3 linked regions of the Drosophila melanogaster genome follow. The protein of the gene in region 1 interacts with the protein of each later gene in a pairwise test. Each region holds a gene or a part of one and is shown on either strand. Other genes may lie near its edges.

Region 1 (2,897 bases):
CGAGCTCGGAAAATCTTGAAAAATTAAAATGACTAGTGCCGGGGCACGATCAAGACCGTGCTGCCGTCTTGATAGCAGACAATGGCAACTCCGGAGGAGATGGAAAGCCCAAAAGCGAAACCTCAGCGGTAGTCAGCATTGGGGCGTCTGCAGTTCAACGTTCAAGTGGCACAGTACGCCCTAGAAAAATGAATTGATTCGATTGTTTTTCGCCGCAACTCGGGCTCCTCTACTTTATCTGCCAGCGCCGAGCGGAAAAATCTGAAAATGGTTAGACAAAAAAAAAACGAAAAATCAGGGGCAGAGGCAAAGGCAGAGGCAGGGAGCGCGCCCCGAAAAATACTGATGATACAATCGCGTTTTTGACTTTGAAAAGTCAGCTTCGAGTCAGCCGGGCTATTGTTCAATGGCCCAACTGCAGCAGCGGCAACATCAGCAACAGCAGCAGCAGCAGCAGCAGCAGCGGCCGACACTGATTGTTATGGTTTATGAGATGAAAATGCACTCGAAACAATATTCTGGGGCCAATGCAATTTGCGATTTTTAATCAACTCCTCTCGTCAGCACTCAGCAACAGAAGAAAACATCGTATTTGGGGGCCCCTGATTGCAGCTTCCACTTCGAGAATCGTGGCTCCTTCATCTGGCTTTTGATCTTCTCCCCGTCCCCGAGATGATTCCCCTGGCTCCTAGCCTGCATCCACTCGACCATCATCTGCAGGCCAGCAGAGCTGCCCTCCAGTTCGCCGCCCACTTTGCGGCCACAGTGCGTATGCGCGATGTAGCCACACACCTTAAGTTCTGCGGCTTTGTGGGCCACAACTGAAAGCAGGGCCTCATCGGAATCTTCGGGCACACTCATTTCATACGCTAATAGGTAGATCTCTGGCTGCGGTTGGAGTACCAGTTCCAGCGACATTTTTGGGAATGGAAATTTGAGTATGTGAGTTTTCACGGCTTTTGAAAATAAATGATCCAGATTTCCTAAGTTACTCTGCTGATGATATATAATCGAAAAATTTGCGTGGAGTAAACATCACTGATCCATCCAAAGGTAAGCATTTAAAACAAATTCTGAATCTTTAAAAATGCTATACTTTTATATTTATATAGATTTTCGTAAAAAGTATTTTTATAAACTATCAGGAAACGTATTTTAAAACAAAATGTCAATTAATAATTATGCTTTGCGTAAGTCATCAGTTTAATCAATTTAGTTTAAAAACAAACCTACACGCCAGTAAATTTAGCTTAACACTCAGTACAATCCAAAATTATAGCCCTAAGTTATTTGCATATCTTTCAGCAAAACTAAACAAGAAATGACATTATTAGGGTCCTACGATTGGATGTTCAATGAGGATATTCAACTTAGGACCGAGTTTAAGTTGTACAACATAATGTCAAGGAACCAATTTCCGCGTCGAATTCTTCAATATTGCCACAAAAACCATATAACCGGATACATAGTATTCACCCACGGGGGCAAACAAGCATTTGGAGTGATGGATGGCAAGCGGAAAGATTTAAACCGGATAAAGCCCTACCTTCTGAGGTTTTGCATTCCAGAACCCTTTAACCAACGAGTCACTTTTTCAGCCTACGAGTTATGCTTCAATCCGAACAAAGAGAAATTTAATATTAAGGATAGAGTTCCTAAGGGCGCCAAGTTTCTGGGAGATATATACGAGGACTGCTTTCTGAGGTTCAAGAATCAAAAACCGGAACCGGAAGAGGAAACCGAGGCAACTAAAGCCTTGTTCGCAAAATATTCCGACTTCTTTAACTTAAAATATTTCGTCAATTGTTAATGGACAATATATAGCTAAGACTATGCCAGCACAATTCCCGATTCTCTTTAGTCGCAGTGATTTCTCGCAGTGTGGATGCGACTCGTGCTGGCCATTGTTCAACACTATTTGCGGCACTCAATCTCTTAATTAAATATGCGACTAACTGGCAGCTCGGAGGCACTCGAAGAGTGGCCCAGACATCGCCGTTTAGTGTCGAAATTGTGCAAGTTTTGATTTTCCTTTTGTTGTTATGGAAGTCGCTGTTTGTATTTTTTTTTTGTTTTTGTTTTTGTTTTGGCTTGGTTTGGTTTTCTTGTTCGCTGGATAATCACAGGCCCGGCGAATAGACGGCAGAAATTAAATCAGCCAAGGTTATCGCATTAATAAGCCCCCTGGTTTGGGTTTTACAGTTTTCTGAGCCAGTCAATTATTAAATTTGCAATTTCCGTAGCTGAACTTTTGGGGTCAGTAGACTGATTTAAATCAAAACCGTAATTGAGCATTGCCCGCGAGCTAGAACCAATCGCACCAAAAACCAAATACCAAATACCAACCTCCGGGCAGGAAAATTGACAAATGTTTGATAGCTAGCTACCTTTTCGGATTGCTTGTTTCACGTGCATTTATTTTCCTCCAAAAGCGGATGTGGGGACGCTGCGAATCCGATTCAGAAAATGTACAGAAAAAAAATCGAAAATCAAAAACTCCCAGCTAAGTGGCTTTCCATGACATTTTACTGACACTCTTGCCGTTGAACTGGAAGACCTGTTTTCATTTTCCCTCTTAGCGCAACTTAACACATTTGACGAAGATGTCTATGCCAGCAAATGACGTGTCATCAATGGAGCCCGCACTCCCACATAAAGATGCACAGCGTCCTCAACTCGATCTCGGATCTCACATCTCGCATCTCGTACCCCGGCCACAAATCCCCAGCACTTGAAGCTTGAAGAGATCTGTTGGTGCTGTTGTATTAATAAGCCTGACATTTGAGCAGAGCATCCACTCGAAGCCATCGGGTTTCGGTTTTGCGTGTAGGCGTCTGAAAATAATAATTAAAAAATCGTTTCTAATGCGGAAATCTCGCGTTTTTGAGCTGGGGGTG
Region 2 (4,505 bases), about 14 Mb from region 1:
CATGCTGTGCCGAATAATGCTCCTCTCATTTGGAAATTAAATAGCCGGGCTGATTGTTTTGAACCGCACCCAAATAACGGCCACGCTCATTGCTGCTCATTGTGATGCGAATGACGATGGCCAATGGTAAATGTCAATGATGAGCGGAGCATCCATGTCCATGTGTGTAGACAGAAAAATATTTAACGCGCGGTCGGGCAATAAAAGTCACCACGCACAATATGGCGCCCAGTCGCAATGCATATCCGCATACGCAACAGCATCCGCATCTGCATCCGAATCCGACGTTTGGCATTCAACTGATTTATGCGGCTGTCAACGCAGTGCTCCTATTCCTTGCCCCAAAAAGCCCCCCCAAAAAGGCATTCCGGCCAAAAGCGCATATGCGGGTCCTTAGTTGAGCCCCAGTTGATGTGGCTGATTGACAAACCGCGCCCGTTGAACAAATGAACCATTTGCCATGCGGTCCGTCGGTTGTGCAAATGGCAGTGCAACCTGTACGGTTAGCTTTATTGAAACTAATCAGAATTTCCTTTGATCTATGCTGGCTTTTAAAATTATAAGGTCTTTTATTACAAAATTTTAGAAATACGTTGTAAGTTGGCTTAACTATAACTTTTGCTATATATTATTAAAACTGATATCTTTCAAACTGATGGTAGTTTTGTACGGGCACTTTTCTTATATCTTATCTTCATTTCTGTCTGCATATCCATCAAAGTCGTTTGAGTGGAAACTGAGTGTAACTGACTTCCAGTTACACTCCTAGTGTCGTGCTCAGTGATTTTGGTATAGGATCGCGGAACGGAGTACAGGTATTTCAGCTGCTCCAAAGGAAGTCCGAGAACCCTGCCGATATATTCCTTGCCCACCATGCAGGAGCCACGAAGTGGAGAATCGCAACCACCGGTCTGCCGCTTTGAATGATGGTATTCAAAGACGATGCCCAAGTCGCAGTTCTTCGACTTGATGGTATTCCGCACATCAATTACACTAAATGTGAGTATGTTCTGAAAAACTCCCAACTCGATGGCCTCCTCTATGGCCGCATCAGTGACCAGGTAACAACCAAGGGAACAGTCCGAGCTCAGATCCCGCACATTTACGTGATAGACATTGTCTGCTCGCAGAAATATGGATATTACTATGTCTGTCAGGGAACGATCCCAAAGTGAGTCCAGCAGTTGCCTATAGAAGCTATCAAGTATTTTCAAACACTGCCCATGACAGAACTGACAGGTGCTCGAGGTCTTCTTGTCCAGCCTTTTGGCGCCATCCATTTTCTGAATGCACTCTTTGGCCAAATGCTGAACATTGGCATTGAGGCTATTCACCTGCGTGCGGATATCGCAGAGTTCCTGGCTGTGAAGGCCCTCCAAACGTCGATTCATCTCCTCCAATTGGTTGGATAAGTCGCATATAGCCGGGCAGTTGGAACATGGCGGTGGATTCTGCGAGCAATGGGGCTCCTCTGGTATATAGTAACAGCAAAATTGGTCTTCGCTCTTGCAGTCACAGGATTCGTGGGTATCGGAAGTGCAGATTGAATTTGGAAAAGTTTCTTCAATTTCCACTGTAGGCTGACCACGATTTGCTAAAGAATCTTTAGAGCTGTGAGACTTAATAAGGCGGTGACTCTTTGCTTGCTTCTTTGTGGATTTTCGAGAACTATTCGTGTGGTGTGCAGACTTCGACTTGGAGTGATCTGTGCTAACTATTTTGGAATTCTCAGATTGATCCTTCTTTAATTGTTTAATTCCTCCACCTGTGGGCACCACAATCAACGGTCTCATGCAAAATCGTGAAGCTGTTTGATTCCTGGACGACTCCTTCATCCGTTGAGGGGCTGGCTCTTTCGGCGTTTGAGCGGGACAAGATTTTGTAATATCCCTCTGTTGCTCTTGGCTATAGCAAACGTTGATGGAGGACAGGCTGGAATCATGGGACACCGTACATGAGGTGTCCCGGAAGTGCAGATCAAATGTGGGAATATCCTTGGCCGCGGGCTCTTCAAAGGACACACAGCTCTGACGCTGGTTCTCGTGTCCATCGCTGCGTGGGGACTTATTGGGTTCCGGTATGGAACAGCGGGTGATTTTCAGGCTTTTATCGGATGCACTTTTATTGCCCCGGCAGGAAGGTTCATCATTTGTGGCGCAATCAGTTGGCTTCGAGCAAGAAGGCTTACAGGTATCATTTTGCTGGTCGTGGCTTTGGTTGTGTTTATTTTTTTTCTCCTTTCCGGATTTATTGAATTTCGTACAGAATCCGCCAGCTGAGAGGCGGCTATGTGAGCCCTGCAATTTTAGAGTGGTCCTGGATTGAAATCTTCTATGCATGGAATTTTGCACACGGATGAGGGTTGCCATATACCGCTGATATACTCTATTGTATTCTAAATAAAAATTTTAATTTTATGTATTCATTATTAGCAAGCTTTACTCACCCGGATCTGAGCTAAACCTATATATTTTTTGTGAATTCCTCATAATTTGATCTTCTAAATTAAAGTCTGCATTTAGCGGCTGGTTCGAGTTCTGACTAAAATAATGAGCTCGTTTTTCCATCTTGCAACATTTTTATGCTTTGTACTTTTTGTATATAATTTTTGAGCCGAATATTAGAAATTAACACTAAAAGCTACGCCAACTAATAGGCATTTTTTTTACTAAAATATTTATATTCTATTTACTTACTGATTTATACATCAATAAATCGAAGCACAAACGGTTCTGGTTTGATATTCATAACTTTTATTATGGCTCACACACAATTGGCAAACGAAAGTTGGAAAATATTAAATCTTTGGCTAGGTATTATGGTTTAGATTTTACACCACTTTAGCTGAAATACATTTAATTTTATTGAATATAAATAACTTTTGTAAAATATGTGTTTGTTTTTCTCTCGTTTGCATAATATTTGTATTGTGGCAAAGTGTTTAAACTTATTTTTACATCTATATTTTATTCTGTATTTTTTAGCCCTGGAAATTTACACGTGGAATTGTTTTTATTGGCCTTTGACTATTAAAAAGAATTATGTGACATATAAAACTTTTAAATGCTGTCGTTAAGCTCCTTGATATTTATATTAATTGTTTGATGCGTTTAATGGTATTCCAAAACTTTATATATTTATGTAGTTTAGTTGAAAAGATTGTTAGTTATATCGAATGACGGAAGGCATTTGTTTGTATATACTAAACTAATGTACTTTTTTAGTTTTGGCAACTGTCTGATTATATCTTAAAGATTTGGCAACGAGATGCAAAGTTGCAGGGAAAACTTCCAATTCACGTTAAAATATATACTGGAATGTTGAGCAAAGCTTTAGTTTTGCATAATTTTGGGGAGCCAAGGCCAGCAAACCATTGATTATGTCTAACTGCTATGAGGATTTGTTTAAATACATATAAATATCCTATAAGTGATCCACTAATATCATTCAAATCGAAGCACTGAAAGCGTAATAGAAATTCTTACTAAACTTAACATTCTTTAAGGTTACATTAACGCACTGAACTTAAGAGTAAACCAAATTACTTAGACCGAGCAAATCAGACAGAAAAGTGTCGCCGTGTGGACACGCCTTATAGCTATACAAAGCACATGGGGTTTAAGGTCCTGGTTTCCGGTTCCGCTAGGTGCATCACCTGTCATCCTTCATCCGCCTGCAGATTCAGATTCATCCCAGGAACGGCCGCATCAGGACCATTAGTGTCATCACACCCAGTTCCACGCACATATTTCTGGTCTCCTTGACTCCCGAAGAGACTCGGGGCTCCAGCGAAAGTGTCTTGTACTTCTCCACCTTGGTGAAGTCACTGAATCCGGCCAGATTCCGTGATGCGGCCCGCACCAGGTAAACGGTATCTGGCTCTAAGTTCGTCAGAAGGAAGGTAGCCCCTAAAATTTATAGAATCCATGAGTTTACATATCGAATGTAGCAAGAGATAGCTTTTATCTATATTTTAAAGCTTAACTCACCCTCCTCGAAAGCATAATCCTTCCGCCTGGCATTGGTCCACTTGCCCGCATCCGTCTTGAACTCCATTTCGGTCATGTACTCGATGCGGAATCCATTGACCCCCATGGGACTGTCGGGAGGACCTCGTGGAGCACTCAGTACCACATCGAAGGTGTTTGAATTGAAGCCACGCAGCTGGAAGTTGGCCGGTGACGGAGGCTTCTCGCCCTGCTCCAGTCGCGTGGTCCTCTCGATGGTGCCCAGATCGTTCCTGGCGCGACACCTGTAGTTATCGAAGGCGCTGGTGTTCAGCACATGGATGGTCAGACTCGACCAGTAGCTGTCCGACTGGATCGTGTACAGTCTGTTGTTGCTGTGCAGCTTGTTGTGTTTGCGATACCATGTAAAATTCGCTGGAGGTTCCGCCAGTGCCTCGCACATAAGAGTCGCAGTTCCGTTTATGTAGGCGTACTTTAGACTAACAAATGGAGTCTTGGACCAAATGGGCTTGTCTGCACAGGGGAAAATATCAAGGA
Region 3 (4,626 bases), on another chromosome or scaffold:
AAACGATACAAAAAACAAAGGAAATGAGAAAAAGGAAAAAAAGGATTTTTGGCTCAACTGCCTAAGCTTAATATGCATTTACAGATAAAATAGCTCCTTTCGCTTCCAATGGGAAAACATAGATAAATGCAAACAATCAAATATAAAAAAGTGTCAAATGCAGTAAATGATGACAAATAAAAGGCGTAATTCTAAAAAGAAACCTTCCATAAAAATAAGCTCACAACTATTAAATTACTTTGTCAAATTCGAACGCCCAATTCCCAACGAAATCCATTTAATTCTGTAGAAATCTCCCATGAAACTATGTTCCGTTCCTTAATTCCGGTAAAATCGTTAAACAATTACGAGCTAATTTATGAGATAAGAATCGAGCAAACAATAGCGCCTTTGATAGCAGCAACGAAAGCAAACAAACTTTGATCTTCAATTACGAATATCCCTCGGTGACGTGCGTTGCGCTCCCAAAAAAAACAAATTCGGAAAAAGATGGAAATTATGTAGACATACATGGGTGGTACACAAATTAGGAAGGTGAGAAAATCTGTTCGACTCTTGGCTCTTGTCAAGAGGGCATAGGTACAAAAAAAAATAAATAAATAAATAAATAACACCCACGCGATCCGCACCCTTTTGGCCTAACCTTGGCTGGCAATCAAACAAAGAGGCAAACATTTATTGTTGGGCTTGCGGAACGCGCCCAACTACCTGCACACAAAAGCGGGAACCCGCAGAACGGATCCCGCCAAATGGGCTTTACCTGGCACGGCTGCAGATAAGGCAGATACACGGGTTGGGATCCGTGGCGGGGTGGGTGGTGGTAGATGATACGCGGCGATATGCGCCCATTGTTTCCAAGCAGCTAAACTGTCGTCTTATTACAGAGCAGATACAGATACAGATGCAGATACAGATGCAGATACAGATATATATGCAGATACAGATACAGATACAGATGCAGATACAGATACATATGCAGATATAGATACTAAAGATACTGCGGTTAAATGGATACGTTAACGATATGACAATCGGAGCTAGCCTAAAGCCACTTTCGTCTATCTAGGATGATACACCAGAAGCAGACTCAGGCTTTGCACTCAATTGGCTGACAAAACGAATAAGGTGACTTTAATTCAATTCACAGCGGAGATCAGGGCGAGGTTGGTGTAAAGAATCAACCTGAATAGTTAAACACAGATGTTGGTTGTCTCGGGAATTTGCAATTTCTATAATTAAACGCAGACTCCTCCGGACGAAATAACAGCTTCGTAGAGGTGAATCCAAAACAGATTGTCAATAAAAACAATAAATTAAGTGTATTGAACCCAGCCCACTGTGACCCACTGTGCTCCACCCCCCTAACACCCCCCCTCCCGGTACGCTATTGTACATCCTTCACTACGGTGAAAGATGAGCCCCTACCGGTCAAGTGGATCGAAAACCATGTCATAGCGGAAATGAAAACCTAAGAAGTCGGGCCAATTTGTTCAATTGAAAGTAGATGGTTGTAGGTACTTTAAAATGTTCCACATCTTTAATAGAAATATTCAATTACTTTTCCATGCATATTTTGTTTAGATCGCTCAACAATCACTTCTTCTCCATGCTGATCTCATTTTTGTTACCATCTCCCCACAATCCAATTAGCGGACTGGTCAAGTGGTTCGGGCGTTTGATTGAAATGCCTGCGTCTTGGCTATAGTTTTACTGTTTTGCCAGTAATCTTATCGCTCGGCCAAACTTGGCAACTGGCGAAAAGCGTTAAACAAGAACCGACAACCGACCAAGAAGTAAAACCGATATGAAGGAGCATGGAATTGAATCACCGGAGACAACTGGCGCCTCTCGCGTAATCGGAGATTGGGGACCTCGACATTTTGTGCTTGAATGTTTGGATCTTTTGCTGGGCTGGCTGGCTAGGAAATATCGGCCTGGAACACCCATCCATATCGATTATGACATGTTATCAGAGAGCGGAGGCGCAACAAGAGATTTGTTTTTCTTTTTTGATTCGCCTAAACAACTGTGGCGTGTTTGCCGATAAGCCAGCCCATTAGCATTTGATGTTGGGATAGTACAATTAAGGCGATGTCTGGATTTCGAATGTATGTTTGTACATACATACAAATACAAATTGGTGAATAAAAAACGTTTAACTCTTGTTGTCAGCTGGCATTCCAGCGAGGTCTAACTATCGAAAAACCGTAGCAAGATATTAGAAACTCATAATTTTCGAGAAACGAAGGGGTATATATCTTTATGGGGCACCTATAAAATTGATACAATAACAGAATGTTGGGCACTAATCAAACATTCATGAGTACTCAGAGTGTAAGTACAAGATTTGAACGAACTTTTCTTATGCAAATATCTTAAGGATACTTTCTATTGTATTTCATACTACATCTCGTAACACATTCTTACCGAAATTACTTTTGTAATGATGCTGATAGGCTTGGAAATTTGTGTTGTTATTGCCGCCATTGTTGCTATTATTGTGATGGGCATAGTGATGGCCACTATTGTTGCCATTGTTGTTGTTGTTGGTGTGGCCACCCCCATTATTATTATTATTACTATTATTGTTGTTATTATGGCTCAGATTATGCATTTTAGATGGAATCCGATAACCGGACTCATAATGTTTATACTGATTGTAGGTGAATCGCATTTTGATTGATTTTCACTGGACTCTTTAAATAACTTTAATTAACTCTTATGGCTATTTGTGGTGCAATTAATTTATTTTCGATTAGTGATTGTTCTTTCCACTCTTTCTACTCTCTCCTCGAGTTTCTCGTTCTCTTTTTGGGATAAGTGCTTTTAGTATATTTTATAATTATGTTTACAGGCATCGATTTTGTTGTCTTCCCTCTGACTTGTATTGTTTTTGTTGATTTGGTAAATATTGTTGGCACATTTAATTGTTTCTTTGTGTTTTAAATTAATATTTGTAATTTTGGATTGACTTTGTACATTTGTTTTGTGTGTTGTTGCTTTGTTTGTTGGTAAATTTGCTCTGCAGTTGCTTTAATTGTTTGTATCTACCAGCTATTTAAATAAAAAAAGAAATACAACTTAGTATAATGCATGAGACGCGTGAAAATCGACAGAAAAACGCCCAAACGTAACGTTTTTAAGCATTTTGCAACGCTTAGAAAACGCTCGTAAAACGCACTCGAAACGCTTCGAAAACAGGTTGAAAAATTCGTTGTTTCGTTTTGTTTTGTTTCGGCACTTCGCTTATTTATTTATTCATATGGCCGTTTGGTTTTTTTTTTTTTCTTTTTTGGATTTTTGTTTTGTTTTTGTATTTCGTTTTTACAGCTCGATGCGAAAAACCGAATCCGACTGAGCGATGTAAAAATGTTGCTTTTATACTTTTATACACACATCATCTTTAATAGCCGGCGCGGTTCAAAGTCCAAGCGACAAGAGCAGGCAGAAAATAAGAAGATCGCATTGGTTTAATGATCATTTTGTTGCATATTGATAATGATTATGATAATCGGGGGAGAAGTTGCATTGGGCGGGGGACCTTAAGTGCATTCTTTTTCCCTTTCCCCAAACTGGTTTCGTTGTCCAAGGCGCCTTGAAAAAGTTGAACTCGTTTCTGTTTTCCATTTTTCATCTTTTTTTTTTTTTTGATCCTTCAATAGCTTCCTGGTATCTGTCTTATTATTATTTTGTTTTTGCTACATGATCTTCGTACCCGTTTACAGTTAGAGTTCGGAATCGGAAAACGAGTTCCACACGATCTCGAGATTCTTCCCTGTTCTACTTGTTTGGATGCCCTTTTACTTTTCGGAGAGGAATGTAAAGCCCTTTTCAGTGGCAAGTTCCACAAGGTCTCAAAGAACTACACATTACACGCTTCAATACCATAATGATTTAGGCACTCAGAACTACAATTTATGCTGAGAATAATAAAATTACAGAAATCTTCAACTATGAATGCCGTGATAAGAACTAGTCTCAAAAGTATTGAATACCATTTTACATATTCTATACCGTAATTTACCGACTTTAACAACCGCTTTTCGCTCAGTGCATTTCAGATTTTTTTTTTTTGTACACGAATTTAACGACTAATCGAGGTGACACAGATAAGTGTGTTAGCACCGACGACCCCGCCCCTTCTTCTGTAAGCCCCACCACACCACCGCCTCCTTTGGGCATTGCCTTCAATGGCCTGTGGTTTCGGCATGGATTGGTCTGTACTCTGGTATTATTTTTTTTCGTTTTTTGACAATCAAATGCCAAGGCAAGTTCTTGGCTTGATTAAATGCTCATTGAAATTGTACGGTGTATTTATCAGCAATCGGTTTTTTTTTTTTAATATATATATGTGTGTATGTGCTGTGTCGTGTGTAATGTGTGTAGCGACTATGTAGCCGTTGGTTTTGTGAAAAATCATGATCTTGTTTCATTGACCCACATTGAACGTGTAATAAACGAGCCTCGAAGTGAGCAGAACAAACTAAGCTGATCTTATCTGATCTGCGCGCAGCTCAGATTATTATTCGCTTTTAATTTACGATCAGGAAGCGTTGGGAAATCTGTGAGGATGCTCAGAAATTTCACGGATTAAGGAAACTAGTCTGGAAATTCGAGTTGCCATTG

The links.
Region 2: the proteins of CG15167 (region 1) and CG15631 interact in a two-hybrid assay, tested with the Drosophila melanogaster proteins (one large-scale study listed by BioGRID).
Region 3: the proteins of CG15167 (region 1) and NFAT interact in a two-hybrid assay, tested with the Drosophila melanogaster proteins (one large-scale study listed by BioGRID).

Annotation. Positions count from the first base shown.
Region 1 is NT_033779.5:18,738,431-18,741,327, reverse strand, and holds CG15167 (uncharacterized protein), read right to left. Parts: upstream 971-2,897; 5' UTR 919-970; coding exon 568-918; 3' UTR 521-567; downstream 1-520. Other genes in the region: CG42752 (uncharacterized protein), read left to right, coding at 1,322-1,810.
Region 2 is NT_033779.5:4,731,860-4,736,364, forward strand, and holds CG15631 (uncharacterized protein), read right to left. Parts: upstream 2,600-4,505; 5' UTR 2,568-2,599; coding exon 2,447-2,567; intron 2,396-2,446; coding exon 648-2,395; 3' UTR 554-647; downstream 1-553. Other genes in the region: fipi (factor of interpulse interval), read right to left, coding at 3,688-3,908, 3,990-4,481.
Region 3 is NC_004354.4:13,643,606-13,648,231, reverse strand, and holds the start of NFAT (NFAT nuclear factor), read right to left. Parts: upstream 3,054-4,626; 5' UTR 2,675-3,053; coding exon 2,428-2,674; intron 1-2,427.